Sus scrofa: one gene and its partners. The protein of the gene in region 7 purifies or fractionates together with the protein of the main gene of each other region. This does not show direct contact. Links are inferred from orthologs where the notes say so. Each region holds a gene or a part of one and is shown on either strand. Other genes may lie near its edges. The genes, in order: NECAP2, NECAP1, NUMB, CLTC, RALBP1, MEA1 and AP2M1.

What was found.
Region 1: the proteins of AP2M1 (region 7) and NECAP2 purify together in Homo sapiens (affinity purification with mass spectrometry; 4 studies listed by BioGRID and IntAct, counting the BioPlex papers as one, with this or other methods). This does not show direct contact. The link is inferred for Sus scrofa from reciprocal best matches to the Homo sapiens genes AP2M1 and NECAP2.
Region 2: the proteins of AP2M1 (region 7) and NECAP1 purify together in Homo sapiens (affinity purification with mass spectrometry; 3 studies listed by BioGRID and IntAct, counting the BioPlex papers as one, with this or other methods). This does not show direct contact. The link is inferred for Sus scrofa from reciprocal best matches to the Homo sapiens genes AP2M1 and NECAP1.
Region 3: the proteins of AP2M1 (region 7) and NUMB purify together in Homo sapiens (affinity purification with mass spectrometry; 3 studies listed by BioGRID and IntAct, counting the BioPlex papers as one, with this or other methods). This does not show direct contact. The link is inferred for Sus scrofa from reciprocal best matches to the Homo sapiens genes AP2M1 and NUMB.
Region 4: the proteins of AP2M1 (region 7) and CLTC purify together in Homo sapiens (affinity purification with mass spectrometry; 3 studies listed by BioGRID and IntAct, with this or other methods). This does not show direct contact. The link is inferred for Sus scrofa from reciprocal best matches to the Homo sapiens genes AP2M1 and CLTC.
Region 5: the proteins of AP2M1 (region 7) and RALBP1 purify together in Homo sapiens (affinity purification with mass spectrometry; 3 studies listed by BioGRID and IntAct, counting the BioPlex papers as one, with this or other methods). This does not show direct contact. The link is inferred for Sus scrofa from reciprocal best matches to the Homo sapiens genes AP2M1 and RALBP1.
Region 6: the proteins of AP2M1 (region 7) and MEA1 purify together in Homo sapiens (affinity purification with mass spectrometry; 3 studies listed by BioGRID and IntAct, counting the BioPlex papers as one, with this or other methods). This does not show direct contact. The link is inferred for Sus scrofa from reciprocal best matches to the Homo sapiens genes AP2M1 and MEA1.

What each region holds. Positions count from the first base shown.
Region 1 is NC_010448.4:75,525,502-75,530,052, reverse strand, and holds the start of NECAP2 (adaptin ear-binding coat-associated protein 2), read right to left. Parts: upstream 2,878-4,551; 5' UTR 2,811-2,877; coding exon 2,719-2,810; intron 641-2,718; coding exon 540-640; intron 1-539. Other genes in the region: SPATA21 (spermatogenesis-associated protein 21), read left to right, coding at 2,878-3,009. UniProt on the Homo sapiens protein: Involved in endocytosis.
Region 2 is NC_010447.5:63,128,459-63,132,399, reverse strand, and holds part of NECAP1 (adaptin ear-binding coat-associated protein 1), read right to left. Parts: coding exon 3,901-3,941; intron 2,953-3,900; coding exon 2,871-2,952; intron 2,065-2,870; coding exon 1,956-2,064; intron 1,740-1,955; coding exon 1,556-1,739; intron 1-1,555. UniProt on the Homo sapiens protein: Involved in endocytosis.
Region 3 is NC_010449.5:96,634,476-96,638,416, reverse strand, and holds part of NUMB (protein numb homolog), read left to right. Parts: intron 1-2,915; coding exon 2,916-3,120; intron 3,121-3,941. UniProt on the Homo sapiens protein: Regulates clathrin-mediated receptor endocytosis. Plays a role in the process of neurogenesis.
Region 4 is NC_010454.4:35,876,766-35,880,706, reverse strand, and holds part of CLTC (clathrin heavy chain 1), read right to left. Parts: intron 2,971-3,941; coding exon 2,857-2,970; intron 2,599-2,856; coding exon 2,425-2,598; intron 1-2,424. UniProt on the Homo sapiens protein: Clathrin is the major protein of the polyhedral coat of coated pits and vesicles. Two different adapter protein complexes link the clathrin lattice either to the plasma membrane or to the trans-Golgi network.
Region 5 is NC_010448.4:98,567,721-98,571,661, forward strand, and holds part of RALBP1 (ralA-binding protein 1), read right to left. Parts: intron 668-3,941; coding exon 318-667; intron 1-317. UniProt on the Homo sapiens protein: Multifunctional protein that functions as a downstream effector of RALA and RALB. As a GTPase-activating protein/GAP can inactivate CDC42 and RAC1 by stimulating their GTPase activity.
Region 6 is NC_010449.5:38,077,264-38,081,982, forward strand, and holds MEA1 (male-enhanced antigen 1), read right to left. Parts: upstream 2,998-4,719; 5' UTR 2,962-2,997; exon of another isoform or gene 2,851-2,961; intron 2,557-2,850; 5' UTR 2,464-2,556; coding exon 2,194-2,463; intron 2,108-2,193; coding exon 2,005-2,107; intron 1,438-2,004; coding exon 1,286-1,437; 3' UTR 629-1,285; downstream 1-628. Other genes in the region: PPP2R5D (serine/threonine-protein phosphatase 2A 56 kDa regulatory subunit delta isoform), read left to right, coding at 1-106. UniProt on the Homo sapiens protein: May play an important role in spermatogenesis and/or testis development.
Region 7 is NC_010455.5:122,100,315-122,104,022, reverse strand, and holds the end of AP2M1 (AP-2 complex subunit mu), read right to left. Parts: intron 3,700-3,708; coding exon 3,558-3,699; intron 3,050-3,557; coding exon 2,930-3,049; intron 2,826-2,929; coding exon 2,690-2,825; intron 2,587-2,689; coding exon 2,489-2,586; intron 1,992-2,488; coding exon 1,880-1,991; intron 1,226-1,879; coding exon 1,091-1,225; 3' UTR 615-1,090; downstream 1-614.

The DNA of each region.
Region 1 (4,551 bases), on a different chromosome or scaffold from region 7:
ACTCACCCAGAGGCACTGGGGCTGCAGGACTTCCGGAGCGATTTCACCAAAGGTGACAACTGCCAGCTGACCCCAGCACAGCCCATCTTGGCTTCTCTCACCACAAAAGAGCTGAGAGGGCAGTTTCCAGCTCTTTCAGTTAATAGGTGTGGTCAGTCTGGGAAGTTACCAGTTAGCCGATAAGCAGGATTCCCGAGGAAGAAGCTGAGCTCAGCAGCAGGGGGCTGGGCGTCTTCACCCAGCTTATCTTCCAGGGCTTCCTATGTGGACCAACCCGCAGGTCTTTTCTCCCTGGCCTCCAAAATTAGTATTTTCTTAAGGACATCCAAAGAACATGTGCCTGACAGGAAATACTCCCTTTTAAACTGAAGGTCGGGGGAATGGAGGTGGCTTATAAGGACACCCAGGCCTTTGAATTTCAGGACAGGGTCCCACGGTCCCTGGGTGGCTTGGCCTGGCCAGGCCTGGGCTGCCTCTCCCTTCACAAAGTGGGAGGTCTGAGACCTCAGCCCCTCCTCGCAGGCCTCCCTTGCCTTTACCTGAGGTCCTGTCCTCGAGCTTGATGTAGGCCACCTGCCCTTTTGCAGTGATCCGCAGCCGGCCACTCCATGATGGCTGGTCCAGCTGCCACTCCGAAGCCCTACAGGGACAAAAGCCATTGTGCCTCTGCCAGAGGCTCCTGCTGGGGACGGGAATGGGAAGGGCATGCGGGCTGCCTGCTCTAGACCAGGGGCTGGCAAACTTTTACACGATCTCTGTCCCAGCTACTCACTCTGCTGCTGCAGAGGGAAAGCCGTGACAGTGCATGAAACTGTCGATGCTTTAAGTATTTTAACCAAATATTTTCTACGGAGCATGACTATGTTTCAGTGAAACTTTACGGACAGTCTGAATTGCAAAAATCATTCTTAGCTTGTGAGCCAAAAAAAACCACAGTGGGTCATCGTTTGCCAACCCCAATTCTAGATTATAGAGACCTTCTCTGGAGCAGGATTCCAGTTTTCCTTCTGTAAAGCAAGCAGCTACTGGGACACATGATTTGTTTAAGACTCTGTCAGGCTGTGGTGGTCAGAGTGATCTTTTGGGACCACTGAGACCACTGTGGAAGAAAAGAGAGAAGAGAGCAACAGGACATATGAGCAAAGTGAATGAGTGTTCAAGAAACATATTCTCAAAGGTATCCCAAGAAGAAATAAACCAAGGAAACCATGGACCGATCACAATGGCCCCTTTTGGCTCCTTTAAAGCATAAACGTGACATTTTAGTTCTAAGAAGGAGCTCAGTAAAGCCCCCAAAGAGCAAAAACCTCGGGTGTTTCCAAGAGGCTTTTCTTGGAAGTCCCTAAGCATATGCCAGGACTCGGAAAGACACCATACTGTGGACGCAGGTTGTTTTGAAGTCCACACAAACGCAGAGGCTCGACTCACAAGTCAGCAGACTCAGTTTCAGTTCCTCTTCCCGGGGCAAGAGGCCTTAGACTCAAGGGGGGCAGAGCTCTAAGGCTGAAGTGCAGGGGCTGGCAGTGTCCTCTAAGTCAACATGGCCAGCCCTAACATTTGGTAACTTTGATCCCTGGGGGACCAAGAAGGACCAAACTCATCCTAAGGAAGGGGATGGGGGGTAGACGACCATCCCTGGTTTGGTGGCCCATATCCCGTTTGACGACAGAAAGCAAATACGCGTTTGTTGTTGTTGCTACCGTTGCTTTCATATTTTTAAACTATGTCGTGGATGCCAAAGGTCTTCAAGAACACGTCTGTTCACCATAAAATCAGTATGAGCCCGTGTTAACACAACTGGAAAGTAATGAGAGGCCAGGTAGGTGGACACTCCATGGTCGTTGTGGCACAGGCCAATCCGGTCTTTCCAAATAACTTGGACAAACACTGTCTTCAAGAACCCCATCCACCACCTCCCTCCCACCCCGCCCCACTCCCAGTGGCACAAAATAGCCATAGACCGGGTTGTCTGTATCAGGTACATCTTTTTTTCTTTTAATATTTTTCTTCTTTTGATACATGGTGACAACATGTAAACAACACAAAAAGGTAAACAAGGAAAGGACGTCTCCTTCCACCCCCACCCCCGCCCCACCCCTGTTGTTCTCCTTGGGCCAGTTTCCTGTCTTCCCTGCCACATACCCTACATCCACAAATACTTATGTATTGATTTGGCTCAGGTGAACATTTCACCAGACAAATGTGGATGGATTCCTCCCAAGTGCCACAGGCTGTGATAACGGCTGGGCTTCGCGCCAAGGAAGAGTCCTTGGGCTTTCAACGTCAGCTCTCCGGGACGGGTCCTTGGGGCGGTTCGGGGCTCCCTTCCTTCCCCTCGGGGTTTCTGCCACGGATGGGGCCCCTCCCTCTTAAGCCTTTTCAGGGATCCCTTCAAGGCCATCAGCGCTGGAAAATAAACGTCTATGACACCACCACTCCTGACCACGTTTAGGGGCCCCAACAGCCCACCGGCGTCCCCCAGCGCTAGACACGGCTTTCATGCCTTCCCCACGGCCGGGAGCCCCGTGCGTCGGACTGAGACAGCCGAAAAGTCTGGGTCCCCCTCCCTGCTCTGGCCTCGAACTGGAAGAAACCTCAGCATTACTTCCCCCCTCCTCCCAATAGCCTGGAACTTCCTCAGCTCCCATAGGGGGGCGTGTCGGGGAGGCAGGGATGGGGTTAGGCTGTGACCAGCCTGGCCCGGCGGCGGGTGGTCACCTGTAACCACGGTTGGTGGCCCGCGGCGGGATGCGGTAGACGTGCACCTCAGGCTTGACACAGAGAACCGACTCGTAGCCTCCTTCCTCCATCTCGACGCCGGGAGACCGCGGGACTTCCGGCTCCTTCCCCGCGGCGGGGAGGAAGCCGCGCGACTCTATGACCCGCCTCGGGCTAGAGAGGCAGTTCGTGCACCTCAGCGGTTCGTCGCCCGCGCGCCCTCTGCTGGAGGCCCTGGCTCAAGACATGCGGCGGACAGACACAGGCATCTATCACAAGAAGACAAGGGCTGTCTGGAGGACTGCAGAGAAAATTCAATACAGAACCCACTGCAATCCGTTGTCTCATTGTCATCCCTATCACCTCCAACCTAGCGTCCAGTTGGTTGAGATTCAAAGCTGTAGCTACCTAGACAGCTCACCCTAACACCTCTGGGTTCTCCCAGACTTTGCTTCCTTCTGCTCTTCCTGGATGTCCTCCCATCATCTGACCCTGTAAAACATGATTGAGGCTCTTTCTTCTAGAAAAATCCTTACCTGACCCACCAGCAAAGTGCAATGTCCCTACTCTGCCACCCTTATCCTAGCCCATATGTGAGGGAGTTCTCATTGTGGCTTAGAGGTAAAGAAATGGACTAGTATCCAGGAGGATGCAGGTTTGATCCCTGGTTTTGCCCAGTGGGTTAAGGATCTGGCGTTGCCATGACCTGTGGCATAGGTTGCAGACGTGGCTCGGATCCTGCGTTGCTGTGGCTGTGGTGTAGACTGGCAGCTGCAGCTCCAATTCGACCCCTAGCGTGGAAACTTCCATATGCCGTGAGTGCAGTCCTGAAAAGCAAACAAACAAACAAAAAAAGTATCTTGGTCTTAACTTGGATTTCTCACAGAATGTGATAGGAGATACAATGTCTAATCAGAGTCAAATTCTCAAAATCCTGTATCATCCTTTACAATTCTCTCATTCATTACACAAGTATATAATTCAGTGCTTATAATATGCCAGATCCTATGTGAGGCACAGCTGATCGCAAATCTTTGGTTCACTGAATGCTCCCAAATTTTCTCCATCTCTTTCTTCCCTCTACTCTCTCTCTCCCCCTGCCCTTTTTACTCACTCTAGGTAAGCTGTTTATTACAGGATTGGTCTATTGTCTTAAGTTTTAAAAAACTATTGTGATAAAATATACATAACCTTGGAGTTCCCATCGTGGCCCAGCAGTAACGAACTTGACTGGTATGTATGAGGATGTGGGTTCGATCCCTGGCCTTGCTCAGTGGGTTAAGGATCTGGCCTTGCTGTGAGCTGTGGTGTAGGTCACAGAGGCAGTTCAGATCTGGCTTTGCTGTGGCTGTGGTGTAGGCCGGCAGCTGCAGCTCTGATTGGACCCCTAGCTTGGAAACTTCTATATGCTGCAGGTGCAGCCCTGAAAAGCAAAAAACAAACAAACAAAAATAACAAACTACCATTTAACCATTTTAAGTGTCTAATTCAGCAAAATTAAGTACATTCACAATGTGATATAACTATCACTACTGTCTATTTCCAGAACTTTTCATCATCCCAGACGGACACCCTATACCCATTAAGCAAAAAACCTCATTTTTCCTGCTACCCCCAGCCTCTGGGAATCTGTTTTACTTCCTGTATATGAATTTGCCTGTTCCAAATACTTCATATACTTAGAATCATGCAGTATTTGTCCTTTGAGTCTGATTATTTCACTTAGTTTAATTGTTTTCAAGGTTTATCCGTGCTGTAGCCTGTATCAGAATTTCATTCACTTTAAAGGCCGAACGTTATTCCATCCTATGGTGTGAAAGAGTTAATAAACAG
Region 2 (3,941 bases), on a different chromosome or scaffold from region 7:
GTAGGTTGCAGACACGGCTCGGATCCCGCGTTGCTGTGGCTCTGGCGTAGGCCGGTGGCTACTGCTCCGATTCAACTCCTAGCCTGGGAACCTCCATATGCCGCAGGGGCGGCCAAGAAATAGCAAAAAGACAAAAAAAACAAAAACAAAAACAAAAAAAAACGAGGGTAACTGGGAAAAGGTACATGGGATTTCTTTGTATTATTTTTTACAATTACATGTGAATCTATAATTACCTCAAAATAAAAAGTTTAATTTAAAAAAACAAAACAAATCTCAGATATCTCAGTGACTTCTGGCAACACTTATCAAAAGAAGTAACCTGGAGGAGTTCCTGCTGTGGAAAAGTGGATTAAGGACCTGGTGTTGCCTCAACTCCTGCTGTAGGTCACAACTGAGGAACTTTGATCTCTGGCCTGGGAACTTCCATATGGCTGCAGGTGTGGCCAAAAAAAAAAAAAAGAAAAGAAAAAAAAAAGAAGATGAAGAAGTAGCCTGGAGTTGCCTGGTGGCTCAGTGGGTTAAGGATCCAGCACTGTCCCTGCTGTGGCCTTGATTTGCTCTCTGGCCCACAGGTGCAGCCAAAAAGGAAAAGGAAAAAAAAAAAAAAAAGTAGCCTATAACCACTTTTACCTCAAAAATTCCAGAAAAAGAAAGTCTACTCTTAGCAATCAATTATAAATGATACAATTATTAATGACACAATGTAAAACAAATATTAAAATATAATTAGTTAATAAGTTAAAATGTCCAGATTCTAATATTTGGTTCCCTAATCTTAGGAAATTCCTTTCTGAGTTCTAATTTTGCATCCTTTAAATGGAAAAAACTGTATCTATTCCTTTGTCCTACCAGATAGTAAGGAAAAATGAAAATGTGTTCATAAACCCAGATGTTATCTTATTTCCTCTCAACTGCCCTTGTAGAGAAACAGAAAGGATTATGAAATAACATCCACTGAATGGCTACTATATATATAAGTACTGTGCTGGGTGCCATCACATCACTTCATCCTCACAGTCTTGGGGTAGTTTTATATATCCATTTTACAGGTAATTAATACTGAGACTCAAAGAACTTAAACAATGTTACCAAACACATTCAGATATAAAGCAGAGCTGTGACCAAAATCTTGGCCATCTGACTCTCAAGCCTACTAACATTTCACCAAGGTACAACAAAGGAAACAGTCTTAATATCTACTCATTTTCTGCCAAAGAACCTACCTGATACTATAATTCTCAGCTCACTAGAAAAGCTTTAATCCCTTCCTAAAGGCTGCCAAAATCACCTTGTCAGTACTAAGTGCCATTTATTTATTTACTGGCTGCACCCCTGGCATGTGGAAGTTACCAGGTCAGAGATTGAGCCCACGCCGCAGCAGCAACCCAAGATGCTGCAGTGACAACGCTGGAACCTTGACCCTCTGCGTCACAAGAGAACTCCCCAAGTGCCATTTAATAGCAAAACCATCAACACTCTCCATGGCAAACAGGTACTACCCAATTAAAACTTAAGATATGATTTTTCGAAATTAAAAATACTAGAGATTCACCTGCATCATTACCTCCATGATTAGATTTTGGTATGGGTGGTGGAGTGACATGATTGCTGATGGCAACTGAAGAGGACGGCGGGGGAATTGTGACCTTGCCTCCAGGTGGCGGTGGGAGTAAGCTCAGGCCCCCAGTCCCTGCAGTCTTGGGCTTAGAAGCACCTCCTTTCTTGGTTGTAATGTTCTACAAAAGAAAAAAAGAAAGTGAGAGAAAGAAAAAGAGAGGTCAAGAGCTCCTTGGTGGCCCAGTGGTTAAGGATCTGGCATTGTCACAGCTGTGTCTCAGGTTGAATCCCTGGCTCTGGTCTGGGAATTCTGCACACAGCCAAAAAAAAAAAAAAGAAGAAGAAAAGTCACAGGTTTATGAAAATACAAGAAGGGATGGGAGAACCATACTCACCCCAATACTCAACTTGATGGTCTGTCCTTCCTTGAAACCCAGATCCAACTTGGGACGAGCGTCCATTTCCTGAGATTCTTTGGAAATCTCAGATTCCTGCTTTACCCACCTTCAGTAAAAGAAGGTTGTTTTAATTGGGATCCTCTGAAAGCAGAGTCTGACACACAAATCTGAGTGTAGCTAATTTATGTGAAACACATAAAGGAACATGAAACATGATAAAGGAAAGAGAAAAGCCAAGAAAGAGGGCAACTAGGATTCAATGCCACTGAGGAACCATACAAAATGCATATTAAACTTGTCCCTCCAAAAGAGGGCATTTAGCCACCAGTTCCCATCCTCCACGGCTAAGGGCTGCCCCTGAGGGGGTGTTAATTTCTCAGTTGTTCCAGGCTGCCCCCCCTTTCTAACTAGGTGCCCTTTCACAATTTCAGTAAGTCCTGAAGCAGAAAAGGAGATGTGTCCCCGACCTTGAGATAGGAAGCTGACTACCTGGTGCTGTCCAGCATAGCTGAGCCAAAATCAAATGGGCTGAATACTGCAAAAGGCACAAAACATGCCAACTACAAGAATAACAAAACTGGCACATAACTCCCCACATATCACACACCCAGCCCTACGGTTACTGCTAAGCCTCCCTCAGCCACTTAAAAGCAATGGCGGATGCCCCAGGAGCATAAACAAAAGCATCACCTCAAGCCACTGTACAGGAATTAAAAACATATCCCAGCTATAAGGAAAGGACAGAACAGACACAAAGATAACATGAGAAAACAGTGAATGGAAAGAGTTATATGCAAATGAACTAGTTCACCAAATAAAGAAACCAAGAGGTAAAAGAGACAGTGTCCATTCAACTGAGAAGGAGCATTCCCAAAAAACTTAACCTGGTCGCTAAGAACAAGCTTCACTCACTTGAAGTGATCTTGTAAGGAGACATTAAAGTCGAAGGCATCACCTCGATCTGTGAAGCCAATGCCAATGAAAGCACTGCGCCCTGTTGAAAAAAAAATCAGAATCCTCAGAACAGGAAGTATCCCTTGGGGCAAACTCTGCCCAAGGAAATTATTACCGTTACCCTAACTAGACAGCCATCCGTAAATGTGAAATACTTTCTCACAGACCAGGGGTCCACAAACTACATACAGCCTATAGGCCAAATGCTGCCAGAACTTGTTTTTGTAAATAACTGGAACACAGCCACATAAATTTGTTTACATACTATCCATGGCAGCTTAAACAATATAGCAACAGAACTGAGTAGCTACAGGAGTTCCCTGTTGTGGCACAGCGGAAACAAATCCAACCACAAGGACGCAGGTTCGATCCCTGGCCTTGCTCAGTGGGTTAAGGATCCAGCATTGCTGTGAGCTGTGGTGTAGGCTGCAGACACGGCTTGGATCCCATGTCGCTGTGGTTGTGAAGTAAGCTAGCAGCTACAACTCCGACTTGACCCCTAGCCTGGGAACTTCCCATGCTGCAGCCCTAAAAGGCCAAAAAAAAAACAAGCAGTTACAAAGAAACCACTTGCCCACAAAACCTAAAATATTATTATCTTTGTCTTTATAGAAAAAGTTTGCCAACCTCTGATATAGACTATGGAGAAAAGATAATGACTGCCACAAACATAGATGATTTAAGATAGTCCAACCAAAAGCCACCACAAACAAAGAACAGGCAATATGTTTCAATTCTTTGGTTAGATATACATTTGGATTTATTTACATCTACCTTTAATTACCATGTCTTGAACTTGTGTTCTTTTCTATTACAAATGATATATTAATCCTTCTCCTTTCACAACAAGCTTTAGAGAAAGGGGAGGGAAAATTTAGTAAACTGAAGTAAAATAATTGCATCAGGACACACCTCCACTAAAGAGCATTAACTACTGCACTTCATTAATACTGCTAATCTCAACCCATCCAAAATTCCTGATTCTTACCAGTACCATCCTGGATCCGGATTACAAAGTAGCGGCTGGAA
Region 3 (3,941 bases), on a different chromosome or scaffold from region 7:
CACGTTGCTGTGGCTCTGGTGTAGGCCAGCAGCTACAGCTCCAATTAGACCCCTAGCCTGGGAACCTCCATATGCCGCAGGAGAGGCCCTAGGAAAAAAACAAAAATAACTAAATAAAGTCCAGACAAAATAAGGCAGTATAGCCATTCTGCATTCATGGAGGCTACAACTAAGTAACTCTTGCCAAGGTTTAACCTAGAAGGGAAGTGGTGGCCATACTCAATGCTGACCAAAAGGTTTTTTTAGTTTGGTTTTTTTTTTTTTTTTTTGTATTTTTGTATTTTCTAGGGCCTCACCCACGGCATATGGGGGTTCCCAGGCTAAGGGTCTAATTGGAGCTACAGCTGCTGGCCTACACCAGAGCCACAGCAATGCAGAATCCGAGAAGAGTCTGGGACCTACACCACAGCTCACAGCAATGCTAGATTCCCTAAGCCACTGAGCGAAGCCAGGGATCGAACCTGCAACCTCATGGTTCCTAGTCGGATTTTCATTTCCACTGCACCAGGACGGGAACTCCTAAAAGGGTTTTTTAAAGCAGTATATAAACAAACATTAGGAACTCAGGCTCTGAATCAGATATAGGTTCCAGTCCTGGTTCTGGTTCTTACTAACTGTGAGATTTGGGGCAGGTTATTTAGCGTTTTCTAGGTCTTAGTATCCACTTCTCTAAGATGGAGATAATAGGTGTGAAGACTGAATTTGGTCATGAGTATAAACACTCTTAACATAGTGCCTCCCTGTGGGAACTGCTCCAGAATAGTGGCTGATATTGTTAGAGCTGCTCCTCCTTGGTTTTGACACAAGTGCTTTGAGAATGAGTTGAAAGAACTAAACAACGCTTTCTTCCTATCAGACCTTAAGCCACAAAGCAGGGTATTTTGCTAACAGTGCACTCACAGAATCCAAAGAGTTCAAGATTTTCCCTATATTTTTTGGCAAATAATATAGTTCTGTTGGCAAATCATGGTTCTTCAAGCTCTTTGACTGTCCTAGGCCAGTGGTTCCCGTTTCAGAATCACCTTAAGAACTTGTTAAAATAGATGGCTTGGTCCCACCTGTAGTTTTTTTTTTTTTTTTTTTTTTTTTCACCTGCGGAGTTTTTCATTCAGTAGGTTTGAGATGGAGCTCAAGGGATCTGTTTCCAAGAACTTCTTCCCTAAGGCCTAGGAGAAATAATAAGCTAATTTGGCCTATAGTTGTGTCTTTGTAATAGGGCTGTGTTCAAATGCAGACAAGTTCTAAAATTCTTTCACTACCAGTACTCTCTCCTGTTTCACATTTCAATGCCTACCTTTTTATCATCCTACGAAGAAGTTAGACAGAAAGTCATATGAATTCATAAAGATTGAGTCTGTCAGTCTTTAAATAAGCAGTCATATAAGACCTTACAGTTTACAGTCAAATGAAGTCTTGGGAAAAAACATTGAAGACATTTACCTCCTCTTACAGTGTCTCTATATGGGCGTTTGAAGTCCAGTAAACTTACTCAGAAACATATGTAGGGGCAGCTGCTTACCTGATGTGATTTTGAAAACTCCACAAAGGGCTCCCTGTTCTCAAATCTCTTCTCACTGTTAAAGATGCCAACAGTTACTAGATCATCTCTAAATTTTAAAATTTCACAATTAGGGATAAAGTTTAAAATATAGGAATTCCCATCGCGGCACAGTGGAAACGAATCTGACTAGGAACCATCAGGTTGCGGGTTTGATCCCTGGCTTCACTCAGTGGGTTAAGGATCTGGCGTTGCCATGAGCTGTGGTGTTGGTCGCAAATGCAGCTCAGACCCTGCATTGCTATGGCTGTGGTGTAGGCCAGCAGCTATAGCTCCAGTTGGACCTGTAGCCTGGGAACCTCCATATGCCGTGGGTGTGGCCCTAAAAAGCAAAAAAATAAATAAATAAATAAAAATAAAATAAAATACAGGTAACCCTGGTAAAAATAAGCCACCAAGTTTATTAAATTTACTCTAGGCAATCCAATATATTTTTAAAACAATATTTAGTTTATATAAGCCCTCCACTTTTTCCACTCAGAAACAAATGAGATGTATCTGCATAATTCCTTTATAAATAGAAAGTGTGGATAACTTTCTACTTTTAACTCTTGCCTCTGTGTGGTTGGGAGTTAGAATTGGGGTTAGAGAATGCTAGAAGAAGATAGGAAAGGGAGTTCCCTTGTGGTTTAGTGGGTTAAAGATCTGGCATTGTCGCTGCTGTGGCGAAGGTTTGATCCCAGGCCTGGGAACTTCCACATGCCGTGGGTGCAGCCAAAGAAAAAAAGTAGAAGGTATGGGAGAGAGCTTGCAATCACCGAGGGCCCAAATGGGCCAGAGGGGAAGCACACAGAAAGGGAGGCTTGAGAAAACTAAACTTTCCTTTATCTCATTCCTTCTCATCACTAGATTTGTATTTATTAATCTGAAGTTTTAAGTTTACGCCTTTTGTCCCTAGACGTGTTGACAGTATATCTAAACCCTGATATTTGTCCTGGATTTGCAGTGGTTTTTTAGAAATGCTTGGTAAATATTCTTACTATTCCTCTAAAAAGCAAATAGAGGTTTGTGTGTCCAGACTTAGGGCTTGAAACCTTAACAATCTCTTCTAAGGAGGTGGCCAGAGCTAACGTGAGTGACAAAGGGACCTGACTGATAGGAAGTGTTGGTGGCTGCTCACAAAGCACAGGTTCTTGAGGGTCGCTTTACCCAGTGCCTCCTACCATAAAGGATCATAAGCATTTCCCAATATAATCATTCGTTTAAGCTTAATTCGGCATATTAACATACTAAACTCTAATTTTAAGCTGGAATTCCTAACATTTTGCCAGTGTGAAAACAGACTTATCTGTGACCCAAGATAATTTGTAATTGTTGACACCATAATTCTAAACTTTTTTAAACCTGTTATGTACAGGGTGAAAGACTGAGCCATGCAGTAGGCTGTGCTTTTGCAGCCTGTTTAGAACGTAAGCAGAAGCGGGAGAAAGAATGTGGAGTGACAGCTACTTTTGATGCCAGTCGGACCACTTTCACAAGAGAAGGATCCTTCCGTGTCACAACAGCCACCGAACAAGCAGAAAGAGAGGAGATTATGAAACAAATCCAAGATGCCAAAAAAGGTACAGTCTGTTCTGCTACAATGTGTGTTTATTTAAACAGTTTTCCCCAACAGGTTAATGTTTGGAAGCTATCGGGGCAAGGTTTTTCACAAAGAGAACTCTTAGCAAATGAAGACCTTCAGGACAAAGCTGAAAATCTAAACAAAGTCTTTTCCTTTAGAGTGGCTTCCGTTATGTTAAACTACCCAGGGAAGCTGAGAGTACAGTTGAAGAAGCTGCAAAGACATTTAAAAGTAAAATTGGGAAAACATGCATCCTGTAACAGATTTTTAATTCTGATGCATCTGATCTCTGTGAGGAGCAGATGCTATCAAGAACCTACATCTTGGAGTTCCCGTCATGGCTCAGTGGTTAACGAATCTGACTAGGAACCATGATGTTTCGGGTTCGATCCCTGGCCTTGCTCAGTGGGTCAAGGATCCGGTGTTGCCGTGACCTGTGGTGTAGGTCGCAGATGCAGCTCAGATCTGGCATTGCTGTGGCTGTGGTGTAGGCTGGCAGCTACAGCTTTAATTAGACCCCTAGCCTGGGAACCTCCATATGCCGCGAGTGCAGCCCTAGAAAAGACAAAAAGACCAAAAAAAAAAAAAACAAAAACAAAAACAAAACACCTACATCTTGAAGGAAAAAGTACAAGTCCCAGTTTTAAGCTGCGGAGAACCCACTGACAGTGCTACCAGGTGTAAATGCAGGCAGAGATTTCTCGGTGCTACTCTTCTTATTAGATTATTACTGTTAATTTAGTGCTTTAGGGAGAAATGTCCACAGATTTTGAGAAGCTGGCCCCTAACTCTTTTTTCCATAGCCCCATTAATTTTAAT
Region 4 (3,941 bases), on a different chromosome or scaffold from region 7:
TCTTGGGCCACTCTCGCGGCATATGGAGGTTCCCAGGCTAGGGGTCGAATCAGAGCTGCAGCCACCAGCCTACGCCAGAGCCACAGCAACACGGGATTCGAGCCGCGTCTGCAACCTACACCATAGTTCACGGCAACGCCAGATCGTTAACCCACTGAGCAAGGGCAAGGACCGAACCCGCAACCTCATGGTTCCTAGTCGGATTCGTTAACCACTGCGCCACAACGGGAACTCCCCAGATATACTTTTTTTTAAAGAGAGACTTTCCTTATAGTCATTTGCATACCTGATTTCCACCTTTAATAGTTAACTCCAAAGGGAAGTAAGGAAACAAACCCACTTCTAACTATACTTCCTATAGTCTTCCCCAAATACCAAATCCATATTTTCATCTTTATTCCACTTTTAGACCCATTTCTAGTAACCAGTACTTAACGATGTTCCTATATCTTCTAAAGTACTCAGTTCTACCAAGTTCAGAATTTAAGCAAGATAGTGGCAATAATGTCATCTTCATCCCTTTTGATTTTTCAACCAATAGAAATCACATACTCATTCCTTCAAGGCATCGGTCCAGTAGCAGTTGGCTCTGATTTATTTATTTGCTTTTTAGGGCTGCATCTGCCGCATATGGAAGTTCCCAGGCTAGGGACTGAATCCGAGTTACAGCTGCAGGCCTACGCCAGAGCCACAGCATCACAGGATCTGAGCAGCATGTGCAACCTGCACCACAGCTCATGGCAATGCCAGATCCTTAACCCACTGAGTGAGGTCAGGAGTTTAACCCATAACATCATGGTCACTAGTCGGATTGTTTCCGCTGCACCACAACGGGAACTCCCTGGCTCTGATTTAAACAGTGAAAAAAGTCCTGAGGCCTAAAGGTTACTATAAGCCCCCATCTTCTTACTCAAGACAGGTGGCACAGAAAATTTGTGGTGGGAAGAGAAGGGAAACAGTAAGGTCACAGAATCAAATGAACATTAAATATGTATGGTAAGATCAGTCACAATACTTTAATTTAAATATTATCTTAAAATTATCAGCATAGGGAGTACCCACTGTCACAGTGGGTTAAGAAGCTCGGATTCAACCCTTGGCCTAGGAATTATTCCGTATGCTGTGGGTGCAGCCATAAAATAAAATTAAAACAAACTAACAAAATAAAAACAAAACATCAGCATAGGAGGGAAAAATAGTCTCTGGCTTAACAACTTTATGATCATAAAATTATCACTAACCTAGTTCAGCAAAAGTCCAATAATACACTCTTGATTTTTCCAAGAGAGACACACACAACTGAATAAATGAAAGCTAATGAATTTTTAAAGTCGCTTTTGTGCCAGACAATGACTGGTGTAGAAATACAATTAAAAAAAGAAAAGCTCCTTTCCTAAGGGAGAATAGCAACTGATGCAGTTAATCAAGCACCCATAATTCGTCGTGATAAATGCCATGAGGACGGCTACCTAAGATCTAGGGTCTTAGTGGAGAAACACCTAACCGGGTATGGAGTTGAAGTAAGGCATGGATAAGTAGGAAAAGACTCTTTCTCTAGAGTATTTCTCTCATCATATACATACCATTTTCTGGAAATTAACAGAATAAAGGAGGGGAAAAAAACCTATCTACTTCTTTTGCTTACAAACTAGGAAAAATACTAATTTGAAGGAAAACTAGTAAAAAGCAAGATCAATTAACAGCTTGTTTTTGAAAAGTTTACCATATTTTTAGAGGAAAAAGTATCTCCTGAGAGAATACTTTAACATATAAAATACTAAGAAAACATATAAAAACGATCACTTGTGTTAGATGGTGTGAAGCGGTTTGTGAAATGTGACAAAAGGTAACTTTTCAATTACCCTACAAAAGCTATTGTAACATATCATCTTCCAACACTGAACATGTAGTAACAGGGAGTTTCCTGGCGGTCAGGTGGTTAGGACTTGGCATGTTCACTGCTTCAGCCTGGTTTGATCCCAGGTCTGGGAACTGAGATCCCACATCAAGCCACTGCATATCATGGCCAAAAAAACATGAAAAAACAAAAAATGAACAAAAATTTAGTAATTACTTAAAGAGTGAGGAAAAAAAGAGGTAAGAAGAATTCTTTTCCTTGTAGTTGATAACCTGTCTTAGAGACCATATGAGGATAACCCACTATAAAAAGTATAGTCAGTCAAATGTGACTGTAATAGTTTTTGCATGAAGCGCCACTTCTTTTGATAATAGAGACATAAACACAATCCTAGGCTATAATATATGCCAAACAGTTTCTCACCCTGAGACAATGTTAAAGCAAGAAACTCTATCATATCCTTCTGCATATTTAGGTATATATTATTTTCTGACATTCAAAGTTAAAGCTAACAGTAGTAAGTGCTATTTTATTTTATCACAATTTAATTTTCAAGGTTTCCTTACTTGTCCCTTTCTGTTTACTCCAATTATTCCAGCTGTGGCTTCATGAGGTGCAGTAACAAAGATTGTTTCCCCACTGATTCTATTCATGTAGATGCAGGTACCAGTCTCAAGATCATAGAGGTGGATATAGCCATACTTCGTAATCAAGAATACTACATCATGTTTCTCACTTATCTGTACAAAGAAAATCAACACTTCAGTAAAATAATGAAACATACAAAAAGAAAATTTAGTCCAATTCCATTTTAGAGATGGTGAAATTCTAGAACTTTGACAAGAGGCTTCTATGAAAAATTAAAAGCTAGTATTTATGGTCTCTTCATTTTTACAGTAAATTCAAATATGGGAGAGCCCCAGAACTTACATAAAACACAAGAACACTAATACGTTATATAAAAGAGAAAACAAGTCCTTTTGATTTGCTTAAAATACCTGCATTGCAACAGGAAAGTCATTTTGTGCTTCTGGAGGAAAGAAAACATCCACTGCCTTCTTTGGGAAGGGCTGGTTCCCTGTTGGTGGTGTGCCAACTTCAATAATATGTAACTGTTCAAAAGAAAATAAAACTCATAATCAACTTCTCAAAGGACCATAGCAGCTTTATTTGCAAGCCCCAAACTAAAAACAACCAAAATGTCCTATAATAGGTGAATATTAACTATATGGTACAACCATACCACAGAACACTCCTCAGTAATAAAATGAACTTTCATAGACATTAGCTCAGTGGGAACAACAGAAAAAAAGGCCACTCTCAAAAGATCACATACTACATGAGTCTATCTATATAGCATTTTGGAGAAGACAAAATTCTAAATGGAGGGTAAATTAGTGATCAGGGGTTAGAGACAGTGAGGAAGAAGTGGTAGCAAAAGAGAAATATTTGTGGTGACGGAATAGTATATATCTTGAATCTACTCAATGATAATTATACCAAAGTCAACTTCTGGTTTTTCTGGTGTACTACATAGCAATGTAAGATGTAACTGCTGGAGGAAGCCAGGTAAAGGACATAAGATCTCTCTCTCTCTCTCTGTACTGTCTTTGCAGTTTCCTATGAATGTGTATTGTTTCAAGGTAAAAAAAAAATTTGAATAACTCCAACAATCACACCTCAATCTACCTTAAGTTAAGGCCAGAGAATGGTAAAACACCACCCACAAAGGGGCTTTCTCACGGCTTCCAATTATAATTTAAGTTTCCGAACAGAACTCTAACTTATTAAGTTCTTCTCTGCCCACATCTACTCTAAACACAGGTGGAAAAGTATACACCTAAGTTGTCTCTCTAATCACATCCAGCTCAGAAGTTGAATGACAACATTCTGACTCAAAATGTCTGAGGATGCCCATCAGTGAGCAAGGCAAGAGAAAGCAAATAATGTCAATGAAAGAGTGTTTTTTATTTTGCTTAGTCATGTCAGGAATGGACTAAAAAAATAATTCAGTTCCAAAAAGTCATAAGGTCTCATCCTTAATTAGGACGAGTAGCCATACTGAAAAAATTATGTCTTCTCT
Region 5 (3,941 bases), on a different chromosome or scaffold from region 7:
GATGAACGGGTCACCGTCACCCGAAGATACTGTGGGCTCCTCCTCCTCTATGGACAGTTCACTGTCATCAGCAACTGGTTCACAAACCCACACCAAAGATGGGACAATATGCAGATTTCACAGCTACAGCCAATAGGCCAACATGCTCATTATCTGACATGTCAACACTGTCCACACTGTAACAGAAAAAGACCAACATCCAGGCTAAGCCTCTGGTTCACTGCTCTGTGTGGCTCAGCAACAGGACGCGTCCCCGAAACCCCAGGGCTGGCCCAGAGGGCCCGTGTGCACAGCTTGAGTGCAGAGAGGCCGTGTACCTGGACAGTTGGGCTGAGCACTATAGAAATGTTCTGGATGTTCATTTTTGTTTCCAGCTCCTTGGAGATCACATGGTCCATGTGCACGATGAGCCAGGAGATGAGGAGCTGGTTACACTCGGGCAGCTCCCACAAAAGACGCTGGAGCTCCTGTACCTTCTCACCCTCCGAGCTCCGCCCACAGGCCTCCTCAAAGCGGGGCGTGAGCTCCTTGGTGAGCAGGTTTTCAGGCAGGTCCCGAAGGTACTGCTTCAGCAAACTGGCCACAGTGTTGGGCTCATACTCCTCCAGGTTGGGAGACTCCTCTCTGTCATAGGCTGCTTTCAGCTCATCCACCTTGGATTTAATTCCTGAGAACATTCCAATTCAGATGAGAAGGAAAGTGTCAAGAGGAGAAAAAAAAAATCAAACATACAGCCACCTTTGCCACAGCACCCACCCCCCAGGGAGGTCTGAGAAGAGGCCCCAAGACAGTAACAAACCACTAATGGGGCTTTTTACCGGCACAGAGTTCCTCCATAGAGAAGACAAAAGACTATACTAGGAGGTTGACTTTAACCAAAAGTGAAATGATAATGAAAAAACTCAATATTCAGAAAAAAAAAATCAAAGCAACCAAATATGCCAATCAATTCAGGAAAAAAAAAATTTTTAACTTAAAGATAGGTACAAATTCTGGCAAAAACTAAACTATGCTCCAAGCATAAGCCTTGCTCTACACAAGGGGCCAACTGCTTTTTCGAACTAGTCACAAGACTAACACCATAAAATGCAACTTGGTACATGTAAGCCTGTTCCAAAAACTTGTTGGTAATGACTTTTTTAGAAGGTAAAGTTGTTCAATAAATGCAAAAGGTGAGTTCACTATCTATATAAACTCTTGTTGGTCCTCATTAAATAATACCCATCTGATTTTTAAGTTTAAATTCTTTGCATGTTTTCTTAATCTGAACCTAGGAACCAGCAAAAAAAAAAGGAAAATGTGGGTTACTAAAATTGAATTGTTTTGCTTTTCTTAGTAGACAGAAAGAAACATACATACACCAATGTTTTTCAGACACTATTTAATTAAGTCTTTAGCCCAATCTGCACTTAAGTGACCTAACTCAGTGACAGTGATGGCTCATGAGTACAAAGTAGCTTTCTGTGGTTTTTAACACTTAAAACTTTAGGCCAAGATTTACTGGTCAGCTATAAAAAAGGATGAAATTCTACCATTTGTAATAGCACAGATGGACCTAGATAGAGGTTGTTATGCTAAATGAAGTCAGAGGAAGACAAATACTTTATATGTGGAATCTAAAAAGATAAAACAAAGTAGTGAATATAACAAAAAGAAACAGACTCACAGATATAGAAAACAAATCAGTGGTACCAGTGGGGAAAGGGGGTGGGAGGGGCAAGATACAGGTGGGATTAAGAAGTACAAACTACCACGCATAAAATAAATAAGCTACAAGGACTGTACTGTACAGCAAAAGGAATATAGCCAACATTTTATAATAACTATAAATGGAACACAACATTTAAAAATAGTGAATCAGGAGTTCCCGTCGCGGCATAGTGGTTAACGAATTCGACTAGGAACCATGAGGTTGCGGGTTCGATCCCTGCCCTTGCTCAGTGGGTTAATGATCCGGCGTTGCCGTGAGCTGTGGTGTAGGTCGCAGATGGGGCTCAGATCCCGCGTTGCTGTGGCTCTGGCGTAGGCCGGGGGCTACAGCTCCGATTCAACCCCTAGCCTGGGAAACTCCATATGCCGCAGGAGCGGCCCAAAGAAATAGCAAAAAGACAAAAAATAAAATTAAAAAAAATTAAAAATAAAAAAAATAAAAAAATAGTGAATCAGCATGTTGTACTCCTGAAACACATGACACTATACATCAACTACGCGTCAATTAAAAAAAAAAAAAAAGGAGTTCCCTGTTGTGGCTCAGAGTTGATGAATCTGACTAGGGTCCATGAGGACTCAGGTTCTATCCCTGGCCTGCTCAGTGGGTTAAGGATCCGGAGTTGCCGTGAGCTGTGGTGTAGGTCGAAGATGCAGCTTGGATCTGGCATTACTGTGGCCGTGGTGTAGGCCGGAGGCTACAGCTCGGATTGGACCCCTAGCCTGGGAACCTCCATATGCCACGGGTGTGGCCCTAAAATGACAAAACAAAAATAAAAAACAACAGCAAAAAATCAAAAACAGGCCAATTACTGGAAACAAGCCACAAATTAAGGCTGACAGACTATAATGTAAATGACACTCCAGTGTCATTTAATTTGAAGAGAATTTTATAATCAACTATGCTTACCTCTGGGCTCTGAAATTTCTTATCTTATGTGTAAACCTTTCAATGGGACCACAATACATCAGTAACTTATCCAGCACTGGTGAAATAAAATCAGCAACTCTGAGTATGAAAATAACAATATGAATCTTTTCTTTTTTTTAATGGAGGCATCCTCGGCATATGGAAATCCCCAGGCCAGAGACTGAACTCTCATCTGCGCGGCAACCCAAGCCACTGCAGTCAGATTCTTATCCCACTGTGCCACAAGAGGAATTCCAACAATATGAATCTTATTTTTTTCACAATCTTTATCTTGAGGCAGGAAAGTTAGAAACTAATTCCTATTTTCCTACTTTCATAAGTAACACATGGTGACTCCTAACTTTAACTGAAATTCTTGGAGTTCCTGTTGTGGCTCGGTGGGTTAAGAATCCAACCAGTATCCATGAGGAGCCGGGTTCAATCCTTGGCCTCTCTCAGTGGGTTAAGGACCCGGCACTGCTGTGAGCTGTGGTGTAGGTTGCCCACGTGGCTCAGATCTGGCATTGCTGTGGCTGTGGTATAGGTCAGCAGCTGCAGTTCTGATTCGACTCCCAGCCCGGAAACTTCCACATTCCATGGGTGCAGCCTAAAACGGAAAAGAAAAGAAATTCTTGACAAAGACCTCCTCCCTCTCTCGCATATATATTTCACAGATTTCAAATTTTCCCCCAGCAATGCCTGTTCAGAAGATTGCACAGTGAACAATTTAGAGTAAGAATTTGGTTTGTTATCAACATGTTTTCCCTGCAAAAACTGGACGCTTCAAATACAGCGTCCCAGGTACGGAAAGACAATAAGCAAAATTTGTTAGTTTTACAACTGGAACTTACATGTGAATAAATGAGAACCAAAGTTCTCTAGCAGAAACCAGTATTATCAGCCTTCAAAAAGAAAAGTCACAGCCATAACTCTGTAGTCCACAGAGGGCTGAACACAGCACACTGCCAGAGCTTCAAAAATAAATACAAAATTGATCAAAGCAGAAGCTCAGTCCCCAAGGAGCCAACCAACAGGGGAGCAGCTCAGTTTGAATGCTCTGACACATGGAGAGAGGAGTTTCACAACTCTGGCTCCGAAAGAGGGCAAACATCAAAAATAGGTCAAAGACAAAAGAACCCTTTGAACAAAGCTCTAAGACCTCTTCAGAATCCTTCGCCTAAAACAAAACTTCTTCATGCCTATCAAAATCACGAGAGAAGCAGCTATGTTAGTATTGTTCAGATCTTTACAAATCCATCATAAATTTTTCTTAAAAGTCAAATTTCAAATTCATTATATGTGTTTATTTTTATGTAACTTAAGA
Region 6 (4,719 bases), on a different chromosome or scaffold from region 7:
GCTTCGGCGAAAGTCGGAGCTGCCCCAGGACGTGTACACCATCAAGGCACTGGAGGCGCACAAACGGGCGGAAGAGTTCCTAACTGCCAGCCAGGAGGCTCTCTGACCTCCTCACCTCCCCGCCACAGGGCCACAGCCCACTCGGCCCTGGGACACTGCCCCGGCCCTCCACCCTCTGCTCCCCACTGGCTGACTCTGGGCAGGGCAGTGCCTCTCTACTCCAGGGAGGGGGGTGTGGCGCTTGAAGCAGGGACCCCCCCCACAGAGCGGTCCCTTGTCTCCCCCACATGTGTTCATGCCTCCCCGCGGCTAGTACAGAGGCTGTGCGCTGCGATGCTCAGTGCTCAGACAACTTGGGGACGCCTGGCCCCCTCCTGCTCCTCACCCACAGCTACATGAGGCCGCTCTGAGAATACACACAGGAATATACGCCCCCTCCCCTCTTCCCTTCAGCCTCCTTGGCACCCCAGGTGTCTCCTCCTCTCCCTCCCCTGCAGGCATATAGGGAGCAGTGGGAGACAATTCTCACCAAAGTTATGTCGCCCCATTGGTCCCTGGAGTGGATTAGCTGCAGGGGAGCAACCCCCGATGGCACAAATAGGCCCCCAGCCCCGGCAGTGCGCAAACTGATGGGGGTGCGTTATTTCCTCTTACCTTCTGCCTGACCAAGACAACGTGGGAGGGCAGAAGGGAGAAAGCATAGGCTCTGGACAAGAGGTGGTGAATGTGGAGCCCTGATGGACCAAGAGAAAGGGATGAACAAACACCCCACCCTGTGCCCCCTTTTGGGTGAACAGCAGCCCCGGGATCATTGACACAGAAGGGACCACCCTGGGGCTGACTGCTCTATGGTGTTGGTTGCCAAAGCCGGGAGGAAGGAAGCAGGGAGCAGTGCCCCAAGCATGGCTCCCCCCAACACCTATTTATTTCCTTGTTTGTACTGATGCTAGCCAGGCCCTCCCTTGTCCCTTTCAGGCACCCTGGAGGGACAAGACGCTGGGGAGGGCCGGGCTTGAGGTCCAGGGGCACAGGCAGCACAGCTTCTGGCTGTGTACATAGGGTGCTTTATTCTCCACAGAGTGATACATGCTAAGGTGGGTTGGGCCTGGGTGGATGTCCCCATATGTACAGAACTGAATAAAGTGGGTCTCTGAGAAGACGTCTGATTTGCCTTGATGTGGAGAGGGAGGTGGGGAGGATGGAGATGGACACTACAACCAGGATGCGTTCAGTCCTGTGCTGGTTCTGGCCTCGAATGCAGGGAGATAAGGCAGCCTCAGGGTGGTCACTTCCAGGCAGGGGTGGCCTGCCGGGCTTGGAGGGCCTTCTGTACCACATCTTCCCATTGGGCATCTGATATCTCCCGAGCCCAGGCAGGAACCCCTGGCGCAGGCAGGCTTACTCCAGCCATGGTCCTTTTCACCAGCTCTACGTGTTCTGAAATCACAGGCAGAGACCAGTTAGGGAATAGAAACAATGGACCCGTTCCCCTCTCCTTTGGCTAAAGGAACCCAGAGCTTTTGGGACACTGAAGTCATCTTGTGATTCCTAAGCAAGCCTGCACCACCCCCCCCTACCGCCCCACAACAAGTCTAAGAAAAGCATTTCACCTGGATTCTCAAGTTTGCAAACTTACCACAAACTGCTGCTTTAGGAACAGGGTGATCCTCTGTGACTCCCCTCTACTGGCTCTAACCAGTTCCCTTCCTCCGTAATTATTCCAGAATAAAAGAACGATCTCTTGGAGTTTCCGTTGTGGCCCAGCGGTTAACAAACCCAACTAGCATCCATGAGGACACAAGTTCGATCCCTGGCCTCACTCGTGGGTTAAGGATCCCGTGTTGCCGTGAGCTGTGGTGTAGGTCGTAGATGTGGCTTGGATCCCAAGTTGCTATGGCTCTGGCATAGGCCTGTGGCTACAGCTCCAATTGGGCCCCTAGCCTGGGATTCTCCATATGCTGTGGGTGTGGCCCTAAAAAGAAAAAAAAAAAAAAACTCTTTTACCTGGGTCCATGGGAATAGAGCTGTGGTTGCTCAATGCTGTAGCTCCCTCTTCATCTTCATCCTCACTTTCTAATGGGGGGTCTGGCAAATGAAGCCCCAAGGCCTGCAGAGCCAGAGAAGACAGTTCAGGGTCATCCCTTCAGGGATTCCAGCTTCACCTGTTCAGGAACAATGCCTCCTCCACCATACCTGGATTCGATCCTGGATATCAGCAACTACATCTTCTCCATCTCCCACTGGTGCCAGCTCCACCTCCTCTTGTTCAGGATCTTGGTTCAGGGGCTGGTAGGAGTAGCCAGCTGGGCCTGTTCCTGTTTCCTCTTGCTCTTCCTCTGGCTCCTCACTGCTCCAATCCCCAGTGCCTTCTGTAGGGCCCTGGTGTGGCCCGAGTTCTTCAGTCTGATTGGGGAAGATACGTTCAGGACCCATGATGTCTCCCCCTAGAACTACTGCTGCCATCGGGCAGGGGCTGCAAGAACATGGAGACAGGAGAACAGAGATCAGACAAAATTAGGCCCAGCTTTAGCCTGTCATCCAGTCCCGTGCGGTCTCCTCCTGCGCCCACAAAACATTGAAACGCCCAAGTTTCCTGCACCCCACAACACCTCTCCTGGACTCTCCACCTCTTGAGCTGGCTCTTATCTCCAACCAAGGCCCACTTGCCTTGCTCCGACAATTCTTAAATAACAGCCCAAGCGAAGGCCATGCCACCTTCCAAAAGACACCCCTTCGGGAACGCCCTCCCCCCCGCCCCATCCACTTAGGAACTCCGGGTCACCAAACAAGCTCCCCTAGACAAGGCATACCCGCCCCCTTCTCTCCTCTCTAAGGGATTTCCCTCTGTACCGCCTGATAAACGCCCTTCGGACCCCAGGAGATCCCTTCAAATGGCCCCAGATGTGGCGTCCCCGACCCGCCCCCACCAATTCTCGGCGCCGGTATTTGCGCGCGCCTCACCCGCTCAGAGCCCGCGGCCGAACCCCGCACCTTCACTTCCGGCGAGGCAGGACGTTCCGAGGCGGCCCCGTCCTCCAGCCCCGCCCCGCCGCGCTCATGATTGACACGAGTGAAGGCGAAGGGTCCGCCCCTTGCTCCGCCTCCACCATCTTCTCGCCAAACAAAGGACTACATTACCCGGTAGGCCCCGCGGTTGTTTGTGTTTGGTTTTGTTTTGTTTTGTTTTGTTTTTTTTAATTTTAGGGCCGCCTGTGTAGCATATGGAAGTCCCCAGGCTAGGGGTTGAATCGGAGCTACAGCTGCCCGGCCTACACCACAGCCACAGCAACACGGGATCCGAGCCGCGTCTGTTACCAACACTGCAGCTCGTGGCAAGGCCGGATCCTTAACCCACTGAGCGGGGCCAGGGATCGAACCCTCATCCTCTTGGATACTAGTCAGGTTCGTTACCACTGAGCCGCAACGCGAACTCGGCCCCGCGGTGTTTGATAGGTATAAGCACATGCGCAGACTCCTCCGACTCCTGCCCATCCTTCAGCCCCTCGCGTTCCTCCCGAAACCGATGGACTACAAATCCCGGTAGACTTCCGGCACTTAGAGCTGAATGCACGTGCGCTTACAGCTGCCCGCCGGAAGGACCGAGCCTGGCTGTGTTTATCTCGTTGGAGATCCAGTCGGCAGTTGGCGGGCAACGGGTTCAAAGCTGCAGGCAGCGCGAGGACCCGCGGCCCCGCCCCGGCCCGGCCTGGCAGGTAGCCCGTGGTGGGTTGAGGGACGAGGAAAATCATAGGGGATGGGGACGCCGATGCCTAGAGCTGAATTGTGGGGGAGGGGCCGGAGACCGATGAGGTGGGGGTGGGGAGGGGGATGACGGGAAAGGAGAGTGTTAAGGGGGAAAGAAGGGCTGGGGGAGGATGGTGGGGAAAGCGATGGGAGAGACCTGGTAACTGGAGAAGGCACTGAAGGGAACTGGAAGGAAGACTGGGTTAGGAGGAGAATGGGAAAGCTGAGGATAATGGAAGAAAAGGGCGGGGGTGTCTGGTGTTGTGGGGGCAGGGAGGTTGGAATGACTGGAAGAAGACCCGGATAGCGTCATATACAGGGAGGAATATCTCTGGCCGAAAGGGGTCAGGGGATGTTAGCTTGTTTCCCCCCTATCGAAAGAAGGAAAATGGAAGGCTGTCGGGGTGGAGCTTGGAGTTGTGGGAGAAGGAAAAAGCAGAAAACTGCAAAGCTCTCAAGAGATCTGAAAAGGCCAGAAACGGAGAGTGAAAATTGCAAGAGAATAGGAAGGGGGGCAGGTCTCTGAAAGGCATGGAAGAAGCTGGAGAATGCCGCAGTGATGGAGCACGGACGGGAGAGCCCCAGGGATCAGAGGCGCCCGGGAGATGCTGGGGCTTGTCTTTCATGAGCTTGAGTTGTCCTTTGGAGAAGACGCTGAGGGTTTTTTCCTCTACCTTTGGATGGAATTGCTTCCCTCTTGCCCAGTGAATTCTTTACTTTACCTTGATATAGCTGAAGAGGAGAGTAGAAGCTGTGAGGGAAGAGGAAGGACCCCCATTCTTAAGCTCTCCAACTTCCTTCCTATCTGTCCCCACAAGCCCAGATCCAAGAGCTTTTGGATTGAGGACGGGAGTAATGAAGTGAGAGTGGTTTCCTGCTGGGGCTATTTCAGGTTTGGCAGAGTGGGGGAGGGTTGGGGGAAGTTGGGTGGGGGCAGGGGTCTGGCAAGCCAGCTCAAAGCCCTGTGTCTTTCTT
Region 7 (3,708 bases):
GACATGGGGTTCATTATATATTTTCTATTTCTGTTTGTTTGAAAAATTTCTCTAACAGATATTTTAGGTTTAAAAAGGCTAAGACCAAGCAAGGGAAAACTGGTGATGGCACATCTTTATCTGCTCCAACACCTGAGCAGAATAAAGAAAACTCCATTAGAGACTTGCTTATTTGCACACAATGCTCTGGAGAGGGGGAGGCATAGAAGGGAGGAATTTTGTTAAGAGGCCTGGGAAGAGGATGGAATTGAGAGGTTAGTTTCTAAGGATGGCTGGAAAGACCAACTGTAAACCCTGCTTAATCTCTGCCAATAGAGAAATACCTGCCTAAAATAAAGCTGAGGCTGATTTTAGGAAAAGAATCTCTACCCTCAAGGAATTGAGTGGCACGGTGTCAGGTGGGGCTGCCTGCCCTTGAGGCTATTTCTCAGAGGAGACCTGGAGCTAATACCTGTCAGGATAAGGGCTTGGATGGCCCTAGCAGTTGAGCCTTGACAAAGGAAGAGAGTTTAGAAACGAAATTCTGCTCAAGACAGTCCTTTTAAGACAGGAAGGAAGCGGTCCCACCAGATCCCCTCCCCATGTAGCCACCACATCAACACTTGGCCAGCAACTCCGTTCTACAGAGTTTATTGGGTTTATAACTGGACGAAGTCACAAGTGTACAAAATGAAGCTCACACTAGCCCAAAGCAGAGTAGGAATTGAGGGCTGGGGATCCGTTACTGGCCTTTGGGGGAGCTCCGAGGTGAGGGGCAGCCAACCCTCCCACTCCAGAGAGATGTGGCCATAGGGGAGGGGAGGAGAAGGGGCCCATCTGACTTTGGTCACAGAACTCAGAGCCTGGCATTGGGCCAGGGCTGGCAGATGGATGGAAGAGCAGGAGCCTCAGAAACCACCCTGCCCAGGGAGCCCAGGGACTGTTCCACCAGTCCCGCTTGCAACATGGTTGGTCCAGACCTAGACTCAGGGGCTGGTGCAAAGGGAAGGCAGCAAAGCAGGAGGGAGGAGACACTGATGTGTGGTGGCCGAGGGCACCCAGACCTGTGGAAGAGGGTGGGTGGGGAGACGGGCTAGCTGTCACTAGGCAGCTAGCAGCGGGTCTCATAAATGCCACTGCGGCCAATGTAGCGCACCCATTTGATGACATCGTGGTCGCTGTAGTTCAGCTTCGGTTCAAACACCTTCAAGTAGCGCACCTTGAGGCCAGAAGGCGCGAATGGCACCTGGGCAAGGGACAGCTCCAGTTAGGAATGTGGCCTCCCTTTCATAGCTCCTCTCCTCATAGCCCTGCCCTACCTCATCTCTACTACAGGTGTTTGAATCTTTGGGGCCCTTGGGGAAGCTGGGGTGCTGAGGGGTCCTCTGAGAGGTTACTAAAGATAGCATATCCAAGAGTAACTTGCAATCATTTGGGTTTGAAGTCAAGCTCTGCCTGTGACAACTTAAAGATCAGTTCCTTTAATCAGCAGCGGCAGTAATCAAAGACTTGCCTTCGAACATACTTATCCTGCTCAATATTATGGACTTAAACAGTAAGGTGGAGAAAATTACATGTCCATCATGCACAAAGCAAAGTCAGCCCGCTTTCCTGTCTCTAAGTAAACTTTGTGTCTTACTTGTCATGGAAGTAATCTACATTTTCCCTAATAATTGTTTTATGACAAGCCAAATAAATGAAATCAAAGATTTTTGTCTAAATAGAAATTTCTAGTAGGAGGCCTGAGTGGGGAAGGAATAGGTCTAGGAATTGAGGTTACTTCTCTCTGGGCCTCAGCTTCCTCATCTGCAAAGTGATAAATACTGAGCTTGATCCGAATGATCTCTAAGGTTTTTCCTAGCACACCCTGCCATGGTTCTAGGCCCCTTCCCTGCCATACCTCAAAGTTCATCGAAATGGGGGGTCGAGCCCATTTCTTCTTGTCATTGGTGGGCAGAAGCTCAATCTCAGCGCTGATCTGTGATTCCTTCATGCCTGCCATGCGCTTGATCCTGGAAACAGAGGGGCAACAGGTAGTAGGTGCCCCTAAGAGCTTGGAGGAGCTTCCGGGATCAGGGTGGTTCCCCTTTGGGAGGTTGGGAGGTGGCAGGGAAGAGAACCCAGCAGCTTGTGGGAAGTGCTAAGGCAAGGAAACATGATGAGGACTCTGATAACCTCCTGCTGTGAAACCTCGGGTCTGTTACTCCTTTAGCACTGTGCACTGCAGTTTAGACACATGACCATGCTATCCCTTGCTCCATCTACTTCACAGAGATAGGACAAGGGCAAACTGGGAAATGTTAAAGAAACTTGATAAATGCATAAACTCGCCCCAGTGATATGTACACTCACACAGAGCTGTAAGGGGTGACGACACAAGCAGAGGTCCCTGGAGAAACAATCACTCCCCACCCCCTGCCACACACACACAAAGGATGAAAGGGGAAACTTAACAGGGTACACCAAGGCATTTGGAGCCCTGCTGTGGCCTCAAGAAGGAAAGACTCACTTCCACACGATGGCGTTCTCGCTGGCCTTGTACTTAGCCTTCCCCTTCATGCAGATCACCTGCACCCCGCTGGTGTTCAGTGGGGTTGGGATCCTCACCTAGAAGTGACACACCTGTCAGCGAGCGCTGCCAAGCACTGACATCAGCTGCCTTTATTGCTGAAGAGAGATGCTTCCTCCTCCCCATGTTCCTTATCCTCACCTCAATCTTCTGAGCCAGTAGTGAGGGCTTGAAGTTGGACTTAATGACCACCTTGACCTCCAGCTTGGTGCGCCCCACTTCCCGAACTAGCGGGATCACTCGGAAGGGAAGGATGATGTCCTTGGTGGTGCGATACCTTCAGAGATGCAATACCTTTAGGCTGGCATAGCAGAGCCTGTCCTCTACCCTTTCCCCCCTCTCTGCCAACAGGACCCCCTGTTCCTCACACCCCACTGGCACCTCATGAGCTCAAATTCTCCATCTGGTGGGATGAAGCTGATGCTGCGTTCAGAGTCAAACTTGCTGAGTCGAACACACTGGTGGAAGGTGCAGTCATCAATGGCAATTGATTGCTTCCCGCTGCAAGCAAGGGCAGAAGGTCTCCTCATTGGTACAGGAGAGTGGCAGCAGAGTTGGGCTGGGAGACTACCCCACCCCCAGAGGCTGCCAGAACCTGGATGAGGCTTGCACTGTAGTCTATGGAAAGCTGCCATAATGCAGCTTTCTGACTTGGGAGGGGGCAGTCCCTGTTCCAGAGTTAGGGATGAGTGAGAGCTTTACAAACTCATCATCTTTTGAGAGCTCTGCTGCTCAGAACTCAGTTTTAGGCATACTGGGCAGGCAAAGGCCATCAGTATGTAGAGAAGAGTCTTGGACCTTTGGACCTCAGGACCAAACCAAGGGGTTACTGAGTAGAATGAAGACAATCCCCTATCTCTTTTAAGCAGATACTAAGAGCAACCAGCCAAGCACAACCTGGGGAAAAGGGAGTTTGCATCAATGCAGAAATGAAGGAACTTGTGATCACCAGGCGCTGCTCTGCATTCCACGGTCCACCCTTTCCCACCAGCTCCCCTGCCTTAGGTACCTCTTGCTTGTTTCATCGGCTGTGCCTTTGCCCTGCTTCTCAATGACAATCTTGTCATTCATCCCAAACTTGCACTCAGGCATGCCACTCAGGTAGCTCTTCATCACCACTCGGCCGGACACATGGGCGCTCAGCACCTGCCCTGGTGAGG